Linked DNA regions of Daphnia pulex. The protein of the gene in region 1 binds, or shares a complex with, the protein of each later gene. Links are inferred from orthologs where the notes say so. Each region holds a gene or a part of one and is shown in the gene's direction. Other genes may lie near its edges.

What was found.
Region 2: DNA-directed RNA polymerase III subunit RPC3-like (region 1) and DNA-directed RNA polymerase III subunit RPC9-like share a complex: the UniProt entries of both Homo sapiens proteins name them as parts of the RNA polymerase III complex. The link is inferred for Daphnia pulex from reciprocal best matches to the Homo sapiens genes POLR3C and CRCP.
Region 3: DNA-directed RNA polymerase III subunit RPC3-like (region 1) and DNA-directed RNA polymerase III subunit RPC5-like share a complex: the UniProt entries of both Homo sapiens proteins name them as parts of the RNA polymerase III complex. The link is inferred for Daphnia pulex from reciprocal best matches to the Homo sapiens genes POLR3C and POLR3E.
Region 4: DNA-directed RNA polymerase III subunit RPC3-like (region 1) and DNA-directed RNA polymerase III subunit RPC10-like share a complex: the UniProt entries of both Homo sapiens proteins name them as parts of the RNA polymerase III complex. The link is inferred for Daphnia pulex from reciprocal best matches to the Homo sapiens genes POLR3C and POLR3K.

Annotation. Positions count from the first base shown.
Region 1 is NC_060018.1:10,221,725-10,228,778, forward strand, and holds DNA-directed RNA polymerase III subunit RPC3-like, read left to right. Parts: upstream 1-3,067; 5' UTR 3,068-3,245; intron 3,246-3,333; 5' UTR 3,334-3,462; coding exon 3,463-3,621; intron 3,622-3,681; coding exon 3,682-3,809; intron 3,810-3,867; coding exon 3,868-3,998; intron 3,999-4,054; coding exon 4,055-4,328; intron 4,329-4,392; coding exon 4,393-4,758; intron 4,759-4,828; coding exon 4,829-5,021; intron 5,022-5,086; coding exon 5,087-5,257; intron 5,258-5,337; coding exon 5,338-5,484; 3' UTR 5,485-5,673; downstream 5,674-7,054. Other genes in the region: uncharacterized protein LOC124188665, read right to left, coding at 218-496, 563-952, 1,011-1,207, 1,275-1,857, 1,946-2,504, 5,821-5,849. UniProt on the Homo sapiens protein: DNA-dependent RNA polymerase catalyzes the transcription of DNA into RNA using the four ribonucleoside triphosphates as substrates.
Region 2 is NC_060023.1:11,612,577-11,617,945, forward strand, and holds DNA-directed RNA polymerase III subunit RPC9-like, read left to right. Parts: upstream 1-2,541; coding exon 2,542-2,549; intron 2,550-2,614; coding exon 2,615-2,651; intron 2,652-2,721; coding exon 2,722-2,805; intron 2,806-2,872; coding exon 2,873-3,025; intron 3,026-3,089; coding exon 3,090-3,176; downstream 3,177-5,369. Other genes in the region: 3 beta-hydroxysteroid dehydrogenase type 7-like, read left to right, coding at 1-72; serine/threonine-protein phosphatase alpha-2 isoform, read right to left, coding at 4,232-4,339, 4,417-4,560, 4,765-5,369. UniProt on the Homo sapiens protein: DNA-dependent RNA polymerase catalyzes the transcription of DNA into RNA using the four ribonucleoside triphosphates as substrates.
Region 3 is NC_060017.1:5,952,464-5,959,203, reverse strand, and holds DNA-directed RNA polymerase III subunit RPC5-like, read left to right. Parts: upstream 1-2,735; 5' UTR 2,736-2,892; coding exon 2,893-2,934; intron 2,935-2,998; coding exon 2,999-3,100; intron 3,101-3,156; coding exon 3,157-3,311; intron 3,312-3,376; coding exon 3,377-3,564; intron 3,565-3,627; coding exon 3,628-3,800; intron 3,801-3,864; coding exon 3,865-4,069; intron 4,070-4,124; coding exon 4,125-4,351; intron 4,352-4,430; coding exon 4,431-4,591; intron 4,592-4,652; coding exon 4,653-4,833; 3' UTR 4,834-4,980; downstream 4,981-6,740. Other genes in the region: cellular tumor antigen p53-like, read right to left, coding at 1-99, 167-308, 389-746, 815-867; histone H2B-like, read right to left, coding at 1,597-1,833, 1,910-1,972, 2,031-2,120; putative sodium-coupled neutral amino acid transporter 10, read left to right, coding at 5,654-5,761, 5,852-5,969, 6,063-6,236, 6,313-6,419, 6,538-6,659, 6,726-6,740. UniProt on the Homo sapiens protein: DNA-dependent RNA polymerase catalyzes the transcription of DNA into RNA using the four ribonucleoside triphosphates as substrates.
Region 4 is NC_060019.1:12,451,878-12,456,701, forward strand, and holds DNA-directed RNA polymerase III subunit RPC10-like, read left to right. Parts: upstream 1-2,780; coding exon 2,781-3,107; downstream 3,108-4,824. Other genes in the region: feline leukemia virus subgroup C receptor-related protein 2-like, read left to right, coding at 1-55, 162-257, 395-536, 602-804, 926-1,029, 1,103-1,213, 1,289-1,580; yrdC domain-containing protein, mitochondrial-like, read left to right, coding at 3,184-3,864; pleckstrin homology domain-containing family M member 1-like, read left to right, coding at 3,919-4,339, 4,432-4,559, 4,703-4,824. UniProt on the Homo sapiens protein: Core component of RNA polymerase III (Pol III) which synthesizes small non-coding RNAs using the four ribonucleoside triphosphates as substrates. Can mediate Pol I proofreading of the nascent RNA transcript.

The DNA of each region.
Region 1 (7,054 bases):
AAAATGGCATTCACTTGACTTTATAAAAGCCACATGAAAACAATTAAAACTCGGAATCGGAAAGAGAATTTGAATAAAAGATATTACGTGCAGTTGATATAAATGCAAAATATAGGCATTACTGTACACTTAACAAACTAATAATCGGAAGCCCCTACGATTGGTATGAGAGTTAACGATATCCGTTTACATGAATGGAAAATCTTACAGTAGAACATTAGGAATCCGTCTCGCTTTCGTCGGAGGTGGACACTCGATCACCGTTCACATCTCCGTCAATGCAGAGATAGGTGTCTACAAACAAATGTAAGTCGAGTTTGATGTTTCGTTGGCGGCAAGTTTTCTTGAGTTGATTAAAATCACCAGAACATCTGTATTTAATATCTTTAAAGAGAGAAAGAGAGCGCAAACATGGAAGATGTGCCAGTATCTTCAGTCCCATATCAACAGTGAATTTCCGAGGCATCTTATACTTGAAGCTGACTAGATGAGGCCACTGTAAATGAAAACAAGTGTAATTATAAACAATCTTAAAATAAATGTTTGAATATTCTTGTCATACTTGCAGAAAAAGTTCGATAAATTGCTCATCCGACTGTCCAACATGATGCAAGCATAGGACGTCGATATGTTTAAGGGTAGACTTCTTTAGAAAAAGTTCCTCGAGTTCGGAGTTCATGCAGAAATCCAATTGCACCTCTTCTAGCTTTGGCAAAAACGTCTCGGGGATCAGATTTGATTTAGTCTCTACACTGAAATAGCTTTTGAGCGGTGGGTGAAACTCGGTAGAAAGTTTGAGGATCTGAAGGTTGTCGCACGAAATAAGAAAGTCGAATTTCGGGATAAAAACGCCGTCCAAAACTACTTCGAGCGCGGTTAGGAAGGGCGCCGTTGCTTGCGTGATCACAGAACATAGTGGACCATCACTCTCCGTACAAGTTAAAACCCTTAACTAATAGGGCACAAATTAAAATTTCAAAAATAATGCGCAAACATTTTAAAATTAATACCTTATTTAATTTGTTGAAATCATTTGCTATTTCTAATAATGTGAATCCATTTTCTGAAGTTTTAGTTTCAGCAACGTCACGAACACTTGTTTCAAGGAGATGAAGTTTCTGAAGATCAGGACAGAGTTCGCACATGCTCTTGAGATTCAAGTAATCCCTCTCACCTTCAACGAAAAGACTCGTCAGAGCCAACTTTCCTGGATTCGTAAAATCATTGTGATTATTTGGTTGAAGAAAGTTGCGAGTTACAATAATAATTAATACCTGAAAATTCTTTTAGCACAATAGAATCTGAATTCGAGGGAAGAGATAACTCCATGCTTTCGTCGGCAGATGACTCTCGATGCATTCGATTCTGAGTATCCCACAGTGCGCGAATACTAGTAGTGTAGTCTTTGAATTCAAAATCAGATGTTTCAAGCTTTTGTAAAAGCGGCAGGTGGCGTAGAATGAAGGCAATAACATATGGCTCATTACTGCTGAAATAATTTATCCGAATTTCTTCCAAGGTTTGGCAGAATGAATATAAGAGATGAGGCGGCACACAACATTCATTGTAAGCCTTTTTCTGTTCGGTGGCCGGGTTTTGGTCGTGTTCGATTGAGGGAACATCTGGAGTGACATTTCTCAGCAGGGTCAAATCACCACAGTAGAATATACTCAAAAATTCGTCGATAGAAAGAGGTAAATTATCGAAACCGAGACGCAAGGACTTTAGACGCGGACAAGACTTTCCCAAAACGGAGATGATGGATTTGCACTGAATGGGAACCTTGTCTAAATGCAAGCTTGTCAGAAAAGTAAATTGGCTGATGTAAAAACCAATGGTCTCTGGCCAGTCTTGCGCCTAATAATTAATAAAATAAGTACATATCTTAAGTTATCATTTGTTTAAAACATAATTTTATGTGTCACTTCTAAAACGTAAAACCTACCAAGCCGTTTGAGCAATGGAAGTGAAGTTTCCCAAGATTCGGGCAGCGCTTGATGATGATCGGCAAAATGCGATTATCAAAACATTCACATCCATCCTCGTCCCTACAAGGAATCTCGACGAGGTCCATGTGATCGTCCAAGATAACATCAAGAAGGCGAAAAAGACCCACTAGATCTCTGGCCTCTTTTCCCTGACTCTGAAAATGTTTAAGTAGTCGAAGACGCATATCTTTATTTTTATTTGCGTCATATTGGCCTAGTTTCTGATTTAGCTCATTACGAGCGGAATGAAGTGGTCGTTCTTCATCGGCTGATCGGAGCAGGGCGTCAACCATGCAAAAATAAATGTTTAACATTTCGTCTTTGTTTTCCTCCTCCAATCCAGGCGCAGATGCTTCTTCGGACGATGAAGGTGTTGACGACGGTGGCGGTGTTGTCGTCGTCGGAGGTTTCGGTCTCATGGCCCAGCTACCTTCATAGGCACCTTCTACGTCTTGACTAGACTTGCGTTTGCGGCTATCACTTAAGTTAGACACGGCGATCGGCCTCACCACCGCACTGCGTTGAGAAAACAAAAAGATATGAGTTCAAAGATAGGAAAACTTCATAAATTAAATTATAAATTAGACAGTTTACTGATGCATCCAATTTTTCTCTGGCGAAAACAAAATTAAAATTACATTTTTTATAAAATCAATAAAACTTACGAAGAAAATGTCGCTATTATTAATCAAAGTTAGATTTTATTCCAAACGGCTGTTTTTCGAATACGAAAGGCGGCATTTTTTTTACACGAATGATTGCCACATTTTGTTGATGAAACACATTTTTGAATAATAAAAGACACTTGGAAAATTGTTACTAAAACACTTTTGCACTGTAAGCGTAGCCTAAACGCTAAACTTTACACTAATAAAATTTTGGGGTTCAAGCGCCTTTTGGGATGCACTTCACGTGCCGAATGCCTCATACACAATATTAAAAGGTGAACGCAAATTCTCTTCCCGATGTCCGACGGCCATTCACAGCCGAGTTTTATAAGTGTTTCAAGGTAAAATCTTGAAGAGTATACCTCGACCAAGGTATAACCGTGTGCAGTTTTGGCTTTTTGGAGCTCATTCTTTGATTGTTCGTAGTATAGCCACGTGCCGTTTTTCATCCTCGCAAAAAGGGGTTGCTTCCCAGTTCCCACTGTGACCTTGTACTTTGATTTGTTTAGACTTAATGGGAAAAACATGAAATTTTACACATCAAGGTCTTTCATTGATTGAGGACTAAGATCCCCGCTCAAATGCGCAGGTAGTGGAAGTTCACGTGTTTAATTTTTTATAAAACGCAAAATTCGATTTCTAATTTTTGGTTGCATTTGTATCGTTTGGCAACGCAGGAAGTATCAGTATACCTTGCTGCAGACGAACATTTTGAGAAATACTGTTTCAAAAGTTGTAGTTTAGTGGATGTTTGAAGAGCACATGTTCTTTAGATTCCGAAGGAACATAACTAATCAAACGAGAAAATGTCATCGTTTACATTAGGTCACTTTAGCCAAGTATGCAGCCAGTTGTTAAACCACTACTATGGAGAAATTGTCGGCCAAGTCGGATCCTATTTACTTAGGCGAGGCAATCGTATGTTGACCGACATACGTACTGCAACCGGCTTGTCCATTCGCGAAGTGTGATCAATTTTAACTATATTAAAGATACACTTTCTAAAAATTCTGCATTTTTCATAGGTTAAGAAAGCTTTGGCTGTGATGATTCAACATAACCTAGTCAAATTCCAAGCAAGTGAACGGAATAACAATGTTGCAGAGTACTCAATGATGCATCACAATGTCTACTGTCTCATTAGATACCCAAAGTACATTTTTCTTATATAGTGGTAATTTCCTTTTAAAATTTTACAGTTGACTTTGCAGGTATCTATACATGATTAAGAGGATTTATGGGACATCGGAAGAAATTCTGCTAGAGATCTTGCTAAATCTAGGACAAGCAAGTGCTTCCAATGTTATTTTCCATTCAGCAAATAGGCTGAATGAAGCTAATGGTATTTTCAGCCCTGATTTTTGTAAATTACAGTAACCATACTTATATTCGTTGTAGATAGTGAAGTTTTAAGTCCCTCAGCCCTCCATCAAAGTTTTCAAAGACTTGCCCAAGATAACTTCATCATTAGATGCCCAAAGCTTGCAGAAAACGCAACTTTACTAAAAGTGCCCACACTTGAAATTGAAGAGAAAGAAAAATTTGCTGTTCCAAACGTGGAGATTGAACCTATAGCCAGAATGCTGAAAGAAAAAGCAACTCAGTTAGGCGGACATTGCGACAGCGAAATAATTTGGCGTGTAAATCACGAACGATTTGACATTGAATTGAGGTAGAAATAAATTTATCTCCACCCTAAATTGCCATTTTTATTGTATGTAAAAAATGTTTTTTAGGAATGTGATTCTAGTCAATGCTGCTGCCAGAAGAGTGGATACAACAGCTGGCGAATTATACCATTTAATCCTCAAGCTCTGGCGCGAAAGTAGCAACCCCGATTCACCAGCAACAACTCCCGTATCCTACAACGTAATTAAGGATGCCGTTAGAAAAAACGACAGTAGTCCGATTTTGTTGGAACATTTCGATCACTACTTGAGAGTGCTGCACGAGGATTCTGCTGGTTTGATTGACAAACCGGGCGATGCTGGTGGCGGTCAATTCAATCTTGACTATTCGAAAGTTTTCGAAAATTTGGCTTGCGCTTCGTTGGACTCGATTGTACTAGAAAGATTTGGATCGAAAGCTTTACGACTCTTTAGGTGGATCAGAAATTTTAAAAATGGTTCAGGATATGCTAAAACATTAAATCTTCTTGTTTCACACTCTTAGACTGACTCGGATTCAGAAGTTTATGGAACAAGACCAGATGCAGAATGTTGCAATGATTCCGGCCAAGGAAGCCAAAATGTTCACCTACAAATTGCTGGAACACAACTTTCTACAAATCAAGGAACTGAAAAAGGGGACTTCCAATTTTGCTCCGGTCAAATCCTTCATTTTGTACCACGTCGACTTACCTCAGGTGAGAACGAAATATAAATACCTTGATATGATGCTGTGTAATTGCAAAAATACTTCCTTGCACAGGTTGTCCGGACAGTACTGGAAGCGAGTTACAAAGGCTTATTTAACGCTATGGTACGGCAAATGCACGACTTGACAGAAAACAAACGCCTGCTTGAAAAACATGCCATGTTGGAATCAATGCTTGAACGTCTAAAAGGAGATGATGGAGTTCCCGAAGAGGAAATAGCAGAAGTTAGTATTTCCCATTTTCGCAAATCTCTTGATTAAAATACTCCCACTGTTTGACTTACGAAACTTTTCTATTGTAACAGTTATCCGATACGATGCACCCTGCCGAAAAGTCTTTAGTGGAAAAAATTCACTTAATGAGTGATAATCTGACGTTAGGACAAACCCAGGCAGACGAAACAATCCTAATATTGGAAAGTTATTTAAAGTTTAAATCAAAGGAATTGTAACATTGGGTGTCACGAATCTGACGTTGTCTGGGTTTGGGTTTTGGATGTGAAACTGCTGCGTAATTGTCGAAGATGTTCAAGAAAGCAATCAAGGATCATCCCTTAACCTAACTCATGTCATGTGTCGCTCGAAATTGTCTTGGATTGTAAAATTTTGTTCGAGAATAATAACTAAGAATTTTTCAACATAAGTATTTGCAGAAATGACTCAGTAAAAAGAAAACCAGCCGTTTGTAGTCGAAGAAAAATTATCTAGAGCAACAGCAAAAGGCGCGCTTTGTGAAATAGACACCCTCAAGGGAATGAAGAAAAAACATGTAAATAAGCAAAACTTACGTTATGGGGCTCGTTGACAATTTTGTCATTGTGTCACCTTATCGGTAGAAAATTAAGAAACAGTGTAATGCGTAGTTGGCACAGGTTTATAAGCACTCAAAAACTGACCACCAATTGTTGCTTGTCGAATGACAGATTCTCGATAACACGCCAGATAGGAACAATTTTTGTAAAATATGTCGATTGCTTGAGGGAACCGCTATAGACTAGTCTGTATGGGAAAAAGCTACACGTGCCGGATGCTAGACATTGCCCTTGACTGTCTACAGAAATATCTCGAGCAATGTCCGCTTCGCGCCTTTTTTTTCTCAATGACACGATTAATGATTGACAACCGTGCCAATTTTTTGTTTTGATCACCAAATTTCCCGAAGGGATTCTAGTCACAGTCGAAGGAGGCTAAGTTTCGACACGCCACCGCTGCAATTCAAACTGCAAAATTCAAATGCATAATATCGACACTTAAATTTACGTTATTGTGACACCAATTACGCAAATTTTTGTATGCATTAGATTAAACAAGGAAATCTCTTCAAAATGGATCACATATTACGAAGATAAATAAGCTGTATTTTTTAAAACAGCGATTCTAATTCAAACGGGGCTCAGTTTCGAAACGCCACCGCTGCAATTCAAACTGCGAAATTCAAACCGACACTAAACATTAACACAAAATTTACGTAAATGTGTTACCAATCACGCAAATTTTTGTATTAAAGAGATTAAACAAAGAAAGGTCTTCAAAATAGACCACATGAAGATATACAAATAGCTGTATTTTTTACACAGCGATTCAAAGTGGAACGGTCTCACTTTCCCGGCTTTGATGTGCGTCAACCCAAAAGCTATAGTTTGCAGGCCTTCAAGAAGCGAGTTGGGTTCTTGGGTAGCAGTTTTTACAACTGTCCGGCGGCCTTGTATAAATGGAGATCCCTTACCTTGAACAGAAAAACGTCAGGTTTGTTTGTTTACGTTTAACGTTTAACATGTTATTTTAAAAAATCGTTATTAATAATATTGTTTTCGTTTCTTAGATTATAAATGTCTGTGTTTCAAAGATATTTTTTTAAAAATTTGCTCTTGAATTCCTAACCCAGTGTGGATGATTATCGGAACTCCTACATTGAATTACCCTCTGGTAAATCATAATTAAACTGATTTCATCTAAACATTTTCTGTATGCTTTCATTTTTCCCGTATAGGTTCGATGCAAACCACCAGTGTATCATCTTTC
Region 2 (5,369 bases), on another chromosome or scaffold:
AAACCTATTTACAACCCTGAAGAATCAATAAGTAAGTCACTTGAATATTACAAAAATGTTCCTCTCTCCTAGGCCCCATGGTCTTTATTTGCTGTCAACAAGTTTGCATAATTATAATAATTAGACATTGTATAATGTATATTAGGAATATTATTCAACCCAAGAAATAGTAATATATGTGGGATAGACTATTTTTTAGTCTGACTGTGTTTTTCAATCTTTTGAACATTCTTTTGAATAAGTTCCTTGAGAATTGAATTGGAATCTTTGGTGCAAAAATGGGCAATACAACATTCTAAATTGCTACCAGTCAGTTTGAATTCAGGCATGGTACATTTTTTACAGTGGCTTGATGGAATCACATTGTGTGCAGTTAAATTAGAATGAACTAAAAACTCGAAAAGACCCAATGGGGTCTGAGAAAACAACTCATTACAGGTATCACAAAAAATCACAGACTGATGCTGTGTTTTCTCATTCCAGCAAAGAATTTTAGAAATCTGAATAGAAAGAAGGTGAAGGTCTGAGTTTTGGTAGCGAAGATGGGACCTCTTGCATGTGTGAAGGCGGACAACTTTAAATGGAAATTTCTGTACAAACACTGTGATGGGATCCGTACAATTTAAACAAATCTCCACACTGTGCCAAGGTAAGTTTTGGGAGTGGTTGCCAAGGTCTACCAAGGAACAGAATGACTGATTGCAGTTGTAGCATTGGTAATTCTTCTCTATAGCTGGGGACTCTCCAGCCAATCGATGATGAACTGCATCTGTTTCTAGGTCATTAAAAAAACTGCTCAAGTATTTTGAACTACTAAACAAATATTTGGTTTGTAAAAGATCACACGCCGTTCTGAGAATATGCATTGGTAAAATGTCTGGAGGTCAAGGGAAATAATTCTTACCTTCAATTCCGCCTGAATACTCATCCATCTATATTCTTCCAAAGTCCAGCAAAGACTTGAAAAAATTCAGAGGAAAACTGAACACGGGCGTGTTCAGTCAAACCATAAAGCTTAGCAGTACATATGTATAATTCAGCACGCCATATATGAATAGAGGTCAATGTTTTTATCTGTATTCTTTTTTTCCCGTGTGTCCCGAATTTTTTGTTGATAAACATTAGAAATTTCCTTAACGACTAAACATTGTTGCCAAACATCACAAAAACATCTGGGTGTGTCAATTTGTAGACATGTAAATCGCGGGTTTTTTTGTTAATAAGGAGGATAGGGAAGTAGTTAAACATAAAAGAAAAAACATTTCATGATAAACAGGCGCAAAAAAGAACGATTTCTAACGACTAGAAACTGATAATACAGGTTTCCCAACACAGATAATTTTTCCAGTTTTGACACAATAGTGGGAAATGGTTTTCTCTCCTCCGACACTTAATTGGAATTCTGGTAACGCACATTTTCTGCAATCGGGAACAGTTGTGTGCTTGTATCTGTTGACGTGTTTCAAATACTTAAAGATACCATTGGCTGAAAAATCAAAACTAGCTTCACAGCTCTGAAGGTCACATCCTATAACAGTGTAATCAGGAATCAAACCTGATGAATTTAATTTGGTAAAAAGGAACTGACTGTGAAAGTGAAGATCTGAATGATTGTGACAAACATCAGATTTGTTACAAGAGTGAATTCTCACTGCACATTTAGATGTAAAGAATACAACAATGGATTTCTTGCACTTTAAACACATTTCTTCACTGTGGGTTGGGTTTTTAATGGAATGCTGAGCCAAGTCTTCCAATGCAGTAAATAACTGTGGGCAGTCATAGCATCTATAGGGAAAATCTTTGACTGTATTGACTTGATTACTCAACCTATGATGAACAGCATCTGCTTCAACAATACTAGGTTGGTTATCCATTGCTCTATACAATTTTTTTTTACTTTGTTAGAATATAATTTACATCAACAGAAAATTTAGGATTATGCCTTGCCTGTATTCTTCACCTGTAGTTGTAATAGGTCTATGATTCTTGCTGATAAGCGATAAGATAACATATATATCTTTTATGGCTTACTATGGTGAATCAACCTTACGAAATAAACATGCCCACGAGGTAGATTAAGCAAAGAAAACCTTCAAATACTAAAGAGAGTAAATAGGGCACCTTTACCTTGCGATATTGCGGTGCGGTCGGCTTTTTTCTTTGAATAATCAAGGTAGCAATTGAAAGCAACGACATGATTTCAACATTGCAAACCTCATCCAAAGAGAATGTTTACCAATATTTAGCAGACAGCAATTACAGCGTTGCTTCCTCTTCGTGCCTTTAAAAACCACAAGATAATTTTGATCAAACGAAAATTACATAATACTTGCTGGATTATTTTCAAAATTTCTTTAAATAGATAGAATTGATAAAACTGAATTGAAATCGAAATAATTTTACCGCGGTTTCCAAATGACATCGTTGCCTACAACTGCAGCGTGAAGAAAAGTTCTCTAAAAAAACGTGCATTTTTTTCAAAACAATCTGCTCGTGTTTGGAATCTTCAAGCATTTCTGGCTACTGATCGTAATTGAAATGGAAATGTAAGCTAATTGTATAAATTTGTCCATGAACTTCCACTCAACCCCATTTTTTGTTTGTGTTACAGAATCGATGCAAACACGGCTATACTTAGCAATTTTGAGGTAGGTAAAACCTGTTTACTGGAGAATGTGTGGCTTTGAATAATTTATTTGTAATCTAACATTCTTCAAGGTTCTGGGACTTTTGAACAGTTCAAGAGTCAAAGGAGACCAAACCAGGAATCAAAGTGGGTCCTTAGCCACCATCACGTATGAAGTAAGGATTTTTTCAAATGATTTCAATGTGTATCTGCTTCGATTCACCAGTTTCTTTTTGCCTATAGGCCATAAAATATCTTGAAGGCACGCCAGCTGCAGTACAGTCTGAGGGTTGCTTCAAGAAATTTCTCGAGGATGTGAAAAAGTTTGGACTGACTAAAAAAGAGAAAACCATGATCTTGAATCTGAGGCCTAAAACTGACGTTGAAATATCACTGGTATAAAAGCTATGCATGCCACTAGAATTGTCCATGTCTTAATCAGTGATTCAAACCTTTTTAGATTGTCCAATCTACAGATCAGGAACGGTTGACTGAAGAACAAATTGAGGAGCTCATAGAACTCATTCAAAATACTTTGCCAGAATAAATTTGTTTTAACCCCGATTCTCATTTTCACGTTCGTTAAAAACTCAACTCTGAATGTAAACAAATTACTAAATCCGAGAAAGCATGAGATGACAGCGAAATGTTTCAATTGCCTAACCATTACACCATGTGCCCAACGAAACCACCGTTATCCATCAAGGTTTCTCGACAGCCGTTATTTTATCTTTATTTGTTTTTAGTCGATCAACATTCCTTCCAACATCCTAACCATTAACAGCAGGATAACGACGGAAACATTCGAAACACTTGACAGAAGATTCATTCCGGGGTGAACCAAACTTGATTCTAGGTTAGACATCACTTGAATAAATAAGATTGTCATTTTGGTTGCACATTTCTGTTCATTTATTGTAATGACGGGATCAAAATAAGATGGACAGAATCAATATGGAGAACATATTTTGTGTGTATATCGCCCGAGTGCTAACTCCTTGGAGGAAGAGTAAATGGTAAAGGGGGTCGGAGAGAAAAAAACAAAAAGACGTGGGAGATATTTCAGGACTTTTTTTTTTCTTAAATACACAACAGACACATGACAAATGGTGGGGTTTGGGGGGTTCGAAGAAAGAAAATTCGAACTCGGCTATTTTTCAGGACCAGGAGGGAAGTTTAACTACATCGTCGTCGCTTTACAGTTCGTCACTTGTGATAAGATTAAAAGGGAGAATGAAAGAAAAAAAAACACAAGAATGAAATCAAAAGGTACAATTGGTAGAACCAATCCTTTCTTTTTTTTAGTAATACAATTCCCTCCCCCCATCGACGATCCCTTGATCCTCTTCTGCCCCCCTTTTTTTTATTTCGATACAGCATTCGCACGAAGCCATCCGATTGCAACGCTTAAAATAACTTGTGTAATTTTTTTTTTGTTTTACTTTTGTGTGTAATTTGGAGGTTCATGATAACAATTCGTCGGTGAAACATCCAATTCAAGACCTCGATTTCTTTTCTTTTTTTTTGCTTCTTTTTGTTCCTAAACGCTAGTCAAACATTGCCCGTCTGTCAGACGGACATAAAGGGATGCGGGTAGTAGATTTATTTATTTTTTCCTTTATTTTGTTTGGCCTGCGGTCCACCTCGTGGGGGCGTCATGGGTCGGCCGGTGTTCAAGCCTCCGTACGGAAATTTCTTCTTATCGGCTGGCTGTAAACACGTCAAAAGAAAAAGTGATGTAAGTGTCAATGTAACGGATATGAGTGTACGTGCTTGCTTAACGTTACCTTGAGAATCTGGAAAGAGCACATCAGCGTTTCATCGACTGACATCATAGCTCCGGCATTGTCGAACTCGCCACAATAATTGGGTGCCGAAAAGAGGGTCACGAGCTGACGTTTTGCGAAAAACTCGTATCCGTCTTCAACAACCTGATAAAAGAGCGAATTTTAACAATGGTTAATTAAGATGCGTGAACGTTACTCTTTTGGATTGAAAGTTTGGCGTGAGTTGTCACGTGCTTCACTGCACACACACAATATTGCAATCTAGACACGTTTCATCAGAAAACGTGACATCGACCCCAATGACGGTTTGGCAATCGAGTGAAAAGAAAAGTAACAAAAAATGGTTACCTGATGAGCTCTGCAGATCAAATCCATGTCGTGTTTATGAAGGAATTTAGCAACAACTTCCGCACCAAAAGTAAAGCTGACTCCTCGGTCGTTTTCACCCCAGCCCATCGTGTCCTTGTCAGGGTCAGACCACAAAAGATCGCAAAGCAGACCCTGATCGGGTACGTCTGTGGGCCTCATAATTCGGCGAATTTGTTCCATGCTCTGGAGATCGGGACTGAGACCGCCGTGGCAGCAAAAGATCTTCTCGTCAACAATGGCCGCCACGGGTAGGCAGTTGAAACAATCTGTGAAGGTCTTCCATAGCTTGATATTGTAGCGCCGTTTGCACTCGTCGTAAAAGCCGTAGATACGGTTGATAGAGGCACACTCGTGGTTGCCTCTTAGCAGGAAGAAATTCTCTGGGTACTTAATCTTGTAGGCCAGCAACAGACAGATAGTTTCGAGAGATTGCTTCCCTCGATCGACGTAATCACCCAGGAAGAGGTAGTTGGACTCTGGTGGGAAGCCTCCATACTCAAACAAACGCAGCAAATCATAGTACTGACCGTGGATATCTCCACAGATTTTGAGTGGAGCTTCCAGCTCCAGCAAGATGGGCTGCG
Region 3 (6,740 bases), on another chromosome or scaffold:
CGACATATGTTGAATCATTGTCATCACAACGCAATACATGTGGAGTATAGGGCAACGGTGGACCAGTCCCCTTGTGGGCTGGGCACCGTTCAACGGGATCTATAGGAAGAAAATTTAAATAAATTGTTAAAAGGATACAGAGAAACGTTTAAATGTTATTATTTGCCTTGAAAGTGATCAGCCTTTGAATACACCATTTGTCCCCGAATGCAATATCTGTGGAATTCCTGTGAAAGGTTATCCATTCTAAAGGAAATTGGGCAGGCCTTATCCATACTAACAAACAGCTTCTTCAGTTTTGTGGAATACTAAGAAAAATAATGTATGTGTCAAATATAACATATAAGGAACTGTGTAAATTTTAAATAGCACAACATGTTTGACTTACTATCCATGGTGTTGCTTTAGTTTTATCCTGAGCTTTACTAAATTCAACATTGAAATTTTGATCGCCCGGCCACAATTCCATTGCTGGCACTCCATTAGGGACATCAAAAGTTGGACTGGTGTTTATCGATATGCCAGGGCAATTGTTAATGGGATAGGTAGTTGTGTCCATTAGTTGCTGTTGCTGATAATGTTGGAAATGGAATGCATCTGTGCAGAGGTAATTATTTTCCTCCTCAACAGGATGAGCATTCGTGTGCTCAACATAATTTGAGGGATTCTCAATGATTGATTGAAGTACTTGATTTTGTGAATTAGTTAAAGGTAAAAGGTCAAATGACATGTCTTCATTTTCTTGGCTGTAATAGTTAAGAGATTAATTAACTGTTATGCTTAAAAAATGTCACTTCAAAATTAAGCACTTCACCTGTTGGTGGTTTCCCAATTATGACCGAAATAACCCGGTGGTTGACCATCCATATCAAATAATTATTATAAGCTTAGTCGCTAAATAAGAAAAGATGATGAAACAATCGAAAGGCACGATAATGTAAGCAACAGGTTGACGAGCTGAGCTGTGGTCACTATTTGACGTCTTGACTTCTACTGAAGTAAAAAACGCAAACGCACCCCTCCTCCACCTTGCGCGGAGAAATTTAGGCAAGTGCAGACTTGTCTTCATCTTTATCTTTACAGTTTACACTGAATAGTCTTCTCCCACAAATTGCAGCAGTTTATTTAATATAAATAAAGCTTATGTATAATATTATTCAATAATTGCCATACATGAAAACATTCGTTTAGTCGTGATTATTTTTAATTCTATACTTCAAACTTCGAAAGAGATGTATAATTTGCGCGGATTGGCGCCATTTTCAAACATTGAAATTTGAACATTTCTATTTGTCCATCCAAACGATATTCATTCAAGTAATCATTGGAAACAAATTTAAATTGTGAAATTAAGTAATGTATTATTGCCAACTCAAAATTTATGTACGTAGCGCGAATGATCACATAGTAATAATAAATCACAAGTCACACATTGTTTGAATCAGCAAAGATGAATAGTGATTTCCCCACCTCAAAAGTTTTACAACACTACGACAAATGAATACAGCTATGATCGATGTAGATAATTATAGAAGATATAAAAAAATAGTCTAATAAAAAAAATTGAATTGTGGTCGACCCACTCGGAAGTCATTTTCACTTTGAACTGGTGTACTTGGTGACAGCCTTGGTGCCTTCCGAAACAGCGTGCTTGGCCAACTCGCCAGGTAGGAGGAGACGTACAGCTGTTTGGATTTCACGACTGGTAATGGTCGAACGCTTGTTGTAATGGGCTAGCCGCGAAGATTCTCCGGCAATCCGCTCGAAAATGTCGTTCACGAAGCTGTTCATAATAGTCATGGCCTTGGACGAAATTCCAGTGTCGGGATGTACCTGCAGAAAAGTTTCATCGATTGTAATTACACGATTATACACTATAAAATATCACGAAGAGAAACAAAACATTTACCTGCTTCAAGACTTTGTAGATGTAAATGGCGTAACTCTCCTTCCTCTTCTTGGTACGTTTGGTCTAAAGAAAACAAGATGTGAATCAAACTCGTTCAAAGTTTATAACACGAAATTCTTACCTTTTCACCAGACTTGTTGAGACCACCCTTTTGAGTCTTTCCTGCCTTTTTCGCTGCTTTTCCACTTGTTTTTGTAGGTGACATGGCCATTTTGATGATATTCTTAACTGGAACTCGACTGTGAGCTGATAGAATCTGGGAAATTCTGCTACAGAAAACCTAGACGACGTTGGTTTTTATACTCTTTCCCCCCATTTTTCGGACAAAGAAAACTCCCTATTTGCAGTCATAACTCCGGGGTACAAACCCATCCTCCTTCCACTTTTTTGTTTTCAGACGTTTTCTTACTCTTCCTCTAACCTCAAGTTAATGGATTTGTTTAATTCATTTAAAAGGGGATAATCTTTTTTCTCAGAAAGAGAAATAAACTATGAGCAAACTCTGTCTAGCCACGAGGTATTTTTTCGTTAGCCTTCCACGAATTCATATGCATTTTTTAAAGATTTTTTAAAGAAACTATTTTTTGTTAGGGCATATTCCGATTATTAAGTTTAATTGAAAAAAAATCATTTTAAACCTATTCAAAGCAAGGTCAAATGAGCTCCAATGAAATTGTTGTTTGCCATACTGAAAATAAGTTAGCCAGCCAAATAGGTTTTTAAAAATAAATATATGTTTATAAAATCTGAAGAAATGCATACAGCATTTATTAAATTTCGTGTCTATTAAATAATTTCGATGATTTATCAAATAGGATTTAATATGACCCATTTCCAGCAGACGACTGCCTCCCCATTTCACGATTTGAAGAATAATATTGTGCAGTGCTGTCTGCAGAGAATTTGCTTTCCCACGTTGTGGGAGTGATATCTATGATTTGTGATATCTAATTTATAATTTGGCGTCTAGAATCTGAAAAAAAATGTCAAAGTTAGAAGAGGAGAATGATGAAGTTGTCAGAGAGGTGGGAATTGGGTGTTGTTGCTGTATTCGGCGTGAATGTTCTCACATGTTTATGATTTTTACAGATCCCAGTCTTTTTGTCAAAGAATTTGCTTCAGAAACTCTATGTTTTCCAATATCCACTTCGTTCTGTTGCAGTTGAAATGGAAAGACCTCATGTTGCTGCTGTAAGTATTATATCTTGCATGCAACTCGATTTCAATATTAATGTGAAACATTTCAGTCAAGGATTAAGCCTAAACTTCAGGAAGTTGAATTAGAGCTTGAATTACCAACACATACACAAAATTATGATAGGAGCAAAGCTGAGCAAATTGTTATTAATACAGATGGACAAAATAAATATGATAAACCTGATCATCAGAACTTTTTCAGCGGGTAGGATTGGTTCGTAATATATTTACTTCAACAATATAATAAGTGTTTTCTTTCTTTCATGAAAGTTCATTTATGGATAAAATCACCTATTCTTCCACAAAAGCACTTTTGGATCCAGGAAGGTTTGCAGTTGGCATTGTAGTTGATAATGAACTTCATCTCAATCCATTGCATGGAATTCTACATGTAAAACCCAACTTTCCATACTTGGACAAATCTGAAAAAAATCTAAAAGATACTGATGAACCAACAGGTTAATTTCTTAATGCCAGAAGCATTGTTTCAAATTTATTAAAGTTCTTTGTGAATTTTATAGAGTCAGGTGATGAGGAAGAAGTTGCTGAACAAATCACTGTGAAATTTGCTCGAACTGAAACAGACAGAAGCAAAGCCCTCAGAGAAAAGTCTTTTGGGTTCCTCCAAAAAAAGAATGCAGAAGAACCCTGGTACAATACCAAATTCTATTCATTAAATTCTGAGGAATCCATGGTATTTATATCACAGTATTAAAGGTTATATAATCAATAGAATTATTGTTTGATCATTTGTATAGTTGGAAAAAAACCGTCTCATCTGTGGAAAATCGGATACAGTTCAAAATCTAACCATGGCAAAAGATAAATACATCAGCGATTTGATTGGCCCTAGCCTAGAGATTGATGAATTTCAGAAACAACTTACGTTAGGAAACGCGTCAATGTTTCAAATTCTTAAACTGCCTCAACTTGTAGATAGAATTAAAAATCTCATGGCTAATGGTAACTTAAATGTTGAAATAGTATTACCACATCGATAACCAATTTCTATCTATAGTTAAGCTGATCTCGTTCAGTAAGTTGTGCAGTACCCTAGAAATCAAACAGGAATCTGTTAAAATGGAATCGCTGAAATCGCTGCAACAGGTGGCTGAGTTGGTCCAAGGTAACTGGGTTGTCAAGAGCGAAATCCTTTATCCGAGCGGAGAGAAAGACAAAACGGTTAAATTGTGTGGAATTTCCGGAATTCATCCTGATATCATCAGCAAAGCCAGGGATTATGTGGTAAATAGCCTCCTGATGATTTGTTTTTTTCCTGGCGACTGTCATAAAGTTCTAACATTTATGTTTTGATTTGATATAGTTGTACATGTTTACTCTAAACCGTTGTGTGAACCGAGAAGCAGTCACTATTGCGACTAAAATTCCTACTGATGAAATGAAAGTTATTCTGGAGCAAATTTCCTTCAAGACCAAGGACGGATGGGAATTCAAATTGCCTTTTGATCAAGCCTTTGTTGACAAGTGCGTTTCAATTCCTTTCCAATGATTTTTGTGTTTTAATGACATTTTATTGCGAAAACAGGTATCCGGAAGTGGTTAGGCGCAGCGAATTGATGAATAAAGCTAAGCAGAAGCAACTTTACAACGTCGCCGAATTTAAAGCTCCGAAGAAGGAACCCACCGATACAATAAAGAAAAGAACAAGGCGACGCTCTCGACAAGATTCGTGCAGCTCAGACAGTGGAAATGACGTTAAGAAGTAATCGCAGTTGAACATGAAAAAGCGGATATTAAAAATCTTCTAGTACACTTTTTCTACCCTGCAACAGTCTCGCTGTTCATTTCATTGTTTTGACCTTGATTGTTCAGTTCGTGCTCTTGTCGAAAAATGAAATGGTTGACTGGCGAAAGTAACTGTATCTCTTTTCTACTTTTGATTTGTACGTAGAAATCTCAAACCGTACCAACAAAAATAACTGCAAGCCTCATCCACATTTTCACAAGCCCTCTGGAATATAAAATTTCGAAAGGATTTTTTATTAATATGAAAATATGTACACTTTTTAATCCTGGAACCTGGATCTACTGATCTACTCTAAGCTTTTTCATGCGACTGTTTTTTTTTTTCTTGTAAAATTGTTTGTGTTAATAATAAAATACGGAAACGATACATCCTCATATAAGTTTTTCTGGTTGTTTTTGCCACGAACTCAGTTTTGTGTTATCAATGATAGGTTAGGCAACCGTCTGCTAGAACTGATTTTAAGATTAGATCGTAGATTATAAACATCCTGGTTGCGTAAACCGATACAGCAAAAGAAAGGGGAGGAGCTTATTACAATCGTCTGAAGAGTTTGTTTACTGCTTTAAAATCAAGTTTTACACGTCAGTCATTTTTACACGTCAAACAGTCAAAGAATGTTGCAGCAAATATTTTAGATACTATATAAAAAACTATATGTGAGTGCTGAGAATTCAATTTCCTTAAATGCTATTGTGAGTTTGTTTCATTAAAGTTGTTATACTAAGAACATTTTCACGTGCGTACCTACGAGACAAGCACCATTGACGATTATCAGGAAAATGATTAAACTTGATTCCTTTCTGTCTGGGAATGCTAAACACACAATGATGTTGGCCAATTCAATTATTGGTGCAAGTATTTTGTCCATGCCATTCTGTTTCAAACAGGTATGCATATACCTATGTTGTTATTTTTATAGTTTATTTGGTTTTCCGATTCAACATTTTAAATAATTATCTTTGAATTTTGGCTTACAGTGTGGAATCATCTTGGGCTCTATAATACTCTATTTAAACAGCATTATGACAAAACTTTGCTGTCATCAACTTGTCAAATCCTCTTTGATTTCGAGAAGGAGGAACTATGAAGTTTTAGGTATTATCAAACAACAACAATAAACTAAAGATGAAGTTTGGTTGAATTTTTCCTTAAACCTTTACCAAAATAATTCTTTTCATTCTATTTTAGCTTATGATGTTATGGGGCCACTAGGAAAACTATGGATTGAAGTGTGTATCATAGGCTACAACATGGGTTGCTGTATTGCTTATTTGGTCGTGCTTGGTGATCTTGGTCCAGAGATATTAAACAAAATAGGACTGAATTATTCATTTCATTCAGCACGAATACTTCTCATGGCAGGTACGTGTTTGTGTTTTACTGTAATGTAATATTAGATTTCTCTATAATACCATTTTAATGTCATGGAGCAATGTAGGTAGCAGCATGTTCATCATATTACCTCTCAGCCTCCTGAGAGATATTGAAACATTGAATGTTATGTCCACAGTATCAGTAGCCATGTACATGTTGTTGGTCCTGAAGGTAATGATTAATAAAAGAATGAAGATACATGCACATATATATATAATATGCTGTGCCAAGTAAGTGTGCGAGTTATAAAAAATCTGTATTGAATGTTTTTTTTTGTTTTTTTATTCAGTCCTTCTTTGAGGCTGGAGTCCAAGGTCTCACCGAGGGAATATCGTCGAATATTGAAGTGTGGAGATTTGGTGGTGTACTTCAATGTGTTCCAATATTTTCGATGGCTCTGTCATGCCAGACGTAAGTGACAATAGTCGTCCAGAATAAGTTATCCATCGCTACTTTTTTGGGGTTTCACATTTTCAGGCAAGTTTTTGAGGT
Region 4 (4,824 bases), on another chromosome or scaffold:
TCCAGATCTTTTCTATGTGGCTCTCATTGGTCAGACGATAACGGCCATGTCGCAGGTTTGATTCTTGGAATTATTTGTTTATTTCTTAATATAGTATTTGTAAGTTATTGCCTTTATTTTATAAGTTAAATTGACTTATTTTTTACTTAACATGCTGACAGGTTTTCATTCTCGGTGTTCCACCCAATGTCGCTGCCGTCTGGTTCGGAGCGGAACAAGTTTCTTCAGCGTGTTCAATAGGTGTTTTTGGCAACCAGGTCTGTTGTAATAGACACGAGTAAAACTCTGGATTGTTGCACGACAATCCACTTTGTCTGATCACATTCACGACAGACTGAATAGCGAGTTTTAAATATTTCCAAAAACTGAACTAACCAGACTTGTCTTACATCAGTTAGGCGTGGCCCTCGGCTTTTTTCTGCCCCCTATTTTGGTAAAGGACCACGAAAATATCGATGATATTGGAGCCGATTTGAAACTCATGTTCTACATTGTGGCGGGCGTCTGCACGGCCTTATTCATTGTAGTAGTGATCGGTAAAGTCCATTATTTTTCCAAAGATATTTTCAATATCTTAACTTCAAAAAGGTATTCGATACAGGATTTCAAGCTAAACCGCCTCTTCCTCCGAATGCGGCACGCATTGCACCTCAATCGTCACAGCCGGTGACCTACTACCAGTCAGTCAAAACGATTGTCACTAACAAGAATTACATTTTGCTTTTGATTACGTACGGAATCAATGCCGGTGTCTTTTACGCTATGTCTACCCTGCTCAACCAAACTGTGCTTCGACATTTTCCGGTATTTTAAATTTATATAGGCTATACCTCACTGAATTATGTCAAGTTTAAAATGACAACATTATTGAGTATTATTTTATGTCAAAGAAATGCACGAAAAAATAATCGTTTTTTTATTTCAGGGTGAAGAAGAAAATGCGGGTCGGATTGGCTTGACGATCGTCGTCTGCGGCATGTTCGGCTCGGTAGTGTGTGGTATTATTCTTGACAAAACGCACAAATTCAGGTAAAAAAAGAAAATGCGTGATACTCTATTTTTGCAAGATATGCAGCTGACTTTTGCGTTCTGTTTTATTTAGGGAAACAACTCTTGTGGTGTATGGATTAGCAGTGGCCGGAATGGTCGCCTACACCTTTACGTTCGAACTTCAATATATCGTCATTACGTTCGTCACGGCCGGAGCTGTAGGGTAATAAGCTTTTTTTTTTAAATATTACTTATGTGTTCTAAAAGATTTCGTAACATTTGTGATAATTTGGTTAAGGTTCTTTATGACTGGATATCTGCCTGTTGGATTCGAGTTTGCAGCTGAATTGACGTACCCTGAGCCAGAAGTGACGTCGTCTGGTTTACTGAATGCCTCCGCCCAAGTATTTGGTATCGTCTTCACAATCATCGGGGGTTGGCTCTTGAGCAACTACGGCGATTTGGTCTGTAACGGAAGTTTGTCGGCAGCACTATTTTTCGGCGCTGCTCTATCGCTGTTCATCCGTTCGGATCTCAGACGCCAAAGAGCCAACCAGATGGAAGCGTTTCGAGCAAACGAAGCTATCTAAGTGTCATCAATCGACTCTCTGAGCTTCACCAGTAAGAGCTTTGCCTGTCTCCAAGAGATGCCACATTTGCCTCACGCAATTTCGAACAAGTTGATTTGCTTATTGTTATAGATATGTAGTTAGGTAAACTTTGTGTCACTGTATTATCTGCCATTTCAAAATGTTGCTTCCTTCAATGTGATTGGCTGCTGCACAAAGTTTGCGGCTATACCGTGAATCCGTTACGACGATTTCAATGGGGGAAAAAAAAGTAAAGTGATTGATAGTTATAGACTGTATGTATACTTATATATATAGCTTATAGCCTCTCTCTTTCGGTTCCGGTCTAAAAGAGTTTACATTTCTGTGTTATTACTAATGTAGTAAAATTGCTGTCTTCCGTACAATGCAGGGAATGGAAAGCAAAGTTCAAACCCAAGTTAGCTTCATTACAGAGTATTATGCATTCGATTCTTTATGAGCCTTTGACGTTAAAGTTGTTTTCACTTTTCACCACGACCCATTTTAAACTGACCAAATCATTTGGTTTGGATGATGTGACAGTTAACAATTATTGCGCCAAATAAAATCTAATGCCACCACGTTCACGTTTTTTTTTTCACCAATAAAAAAGAAGGGTGTGAAACCCCTCCCCCGAAAAAAAAGGTGGGATCCCCATCAACTACTATCACTTTGCTATTGTGGGCTTGCCACAACATCAAATTTTATTATTTAAAAAAAAATACTTAGCTTATTTCCCAAAAGGGGTTTGGGGAGTGAATTTTATCACTGATATGAACAAAGAACAAAGTTCATGAAATAAATTACCTCTTACTATGAGTACGAGGTTATAAATTATAAATTATAAATCTTGACAACAATAAATAATTTGTTTATTTATCGGCAATTCGCAATTCGATTTGGCGCTTCGAACTTGGTCTACGTTACCACGACTTGGCAACGCTTTTTTCTAAACAGCTGACGAAAAAGCATGGGCGGAAGTATGTTGGAAAAAGGGGACGACATTAATCGAAGCAACATTTTTCAACGGGTAATTTGCGATTGTTAGAGGTAAAATTCCATCACTATGATTATTATCTAACATTCTCAAGTTACATGATGCTTGATTTCCCTTGCAGATATAAATGGTGGCATTTTAAACTCTGTATTATGGTACGAAGTTTTTGAATGAGAAGACATTGATCTTACGAAGTTATCAAAATGTTGATGTTCTGTCCCACGTGTGGAAATCTTTTGGGTGTTGAAGAAGGACCCAAGTGTTTCCGATTCTCTTGCCGTACTTGCCCTTACGTATTCAACATTAATCGAAAAGTTAGCAGCAAATCATTCCCCAAACTTAAGGAAGTGGATGATGTATTAGGAGGAGTTGCTGCCTGGGAGAATGTGGATTCCACTGAAGCAACTTGTCCCAAGTGTGACCATTCAAGAGCTTACTTTTTGCAGATGCAGACACGATCTGCAGATGAGCCTATGACCACCTTTTACAAGTGCTGCAACCACGAGTGCTCCAACCTGTGGCGTGATTAGACACAACCTGCCTTCAAACCCCCACTTTCTTTTTTTCATGTTAAACTCAACTCATTATCGCCTTTAAAATTGTCAAATGATCAACCCAGTCATCCTCCTTGGGCCCAAGAACTCCGCAGCCATCCTAAAAAATGCAGTGGAGCTTCTGAAATCGGGCAGTGTGATTGCTCTTCCAACAGACACTTTATATGGGATCGCTTGTCTGTCCCAAAGTTCAGAAGCTTTGAAAAAACTTTATCAAATCAAATCGCGAGACAAGAATAAACCGGTTGCTATTTGCGTGTCGCAAGTTAGCGAAATCGCCAAGTGGGGACACGTTACAGTAGATGAACGTCTACTGCACGACCTTTTACCTGGACCCGTCACCCTTGTGTTCGAAAGAAGTCCTGCCTTGAATCCTGAACTCAACCCCGGAACTAAACTTGTTGGCATTCGAATTCCGGACTCTTGGTTCATTCGTCAACTGGCAAATAGCTGTGCTGAACCTTTAGCGTTGACTAGCGCCAACATCAGCGGATCTCAGAGTACTCTATCGGTGGAAGAATTTCTAGGGATTTGGGAGCATCTCGGGGCTGTCTTCAACGGTGGCCCTATTCCAGACGGCTCTACCGCTCGACTAGGATCTACTGTTGTCGACTTGTCGTCACCTGGCACCTATCGCATCATTCGTCCTGGCTGTGCTCAAACAATTACAGTGGAAAAGCTGAAGAAATACGGATTGGTTGAAGCTAGTGAACCAGCGTCTGAAAACGTTTAGCCCCCTCTTCTTGTCTTTAGTGCTTATGTGAGTGTTGATTCTGTGTATTGAAAAATGTGGAAACGCCAGAAGACCAGAGATGACATGAATTACGACGCGCTGATCAAGACGGCACTGACGGGCCACTTGGGTGAAGCTGTGCGAGAGGTGCAACGTCAGCAGCAGCAGCAACAACAACAGTCAACAGCGGTCGTCGAAGGGAATAGTGAATCGGCTCATACGCTGTGCTGTGTCTTGGAAGCTCTGTTCGTTCACCGCCTACGTGATTCATTCATCGACAAGGTTTCCAGCGTCTTCTCTGGTGATGTGATTCGACAACCGTCGCCCAACTTTTGGCCTTTCTTGCTCGGGTTCTCTCATCGACATTCGGTTGACTACTTGTCAGATTCTTGCCCGTGGTTGAGGTCTGACATTGGCCGATGTCGCGGATGGATTAGGCTCGTCCTCAACGATGGAATGCTCACCAGCTACCTTGGTACGTTCACTTTAACAACAATCATTTTATTTTGAATAAGGAGATACTTACAATTTGTTTATTTCTATCAATCTTCTGTGGTTCCCAAATAGAGCTGCTAGCTGGGGAGCGTCGACTTCTCAATGACTTCTACGATCGTCAAGCGTACCTCCGTGATCCTGAGCATCTTGATATAGCTAGAAAGCTGTTGAGCGGCATAGAAATGCTTCAATTTCGTTTGGTAAATTACTCGTAAACATGTCCACATTCCATAATCTAGAGAAATAATTTCAACTCAGAAGTTTTGGTTCAGAAAATGAGAAGCAATACATTTTTTGGTTTTATTTCCTGATCATGACTGAGTATCTTTATTTCTATCATCAGGCCGTCAATAGTAGCATGTTAAACAACTGGAGCACGACCCCTCTGCTTCTGGCTGGGCTCTGGTCACCGCCTACCCCACTGGTCCAAGAGGCTGTCGTACAGGGGGTCGATGCGGCCTTGTG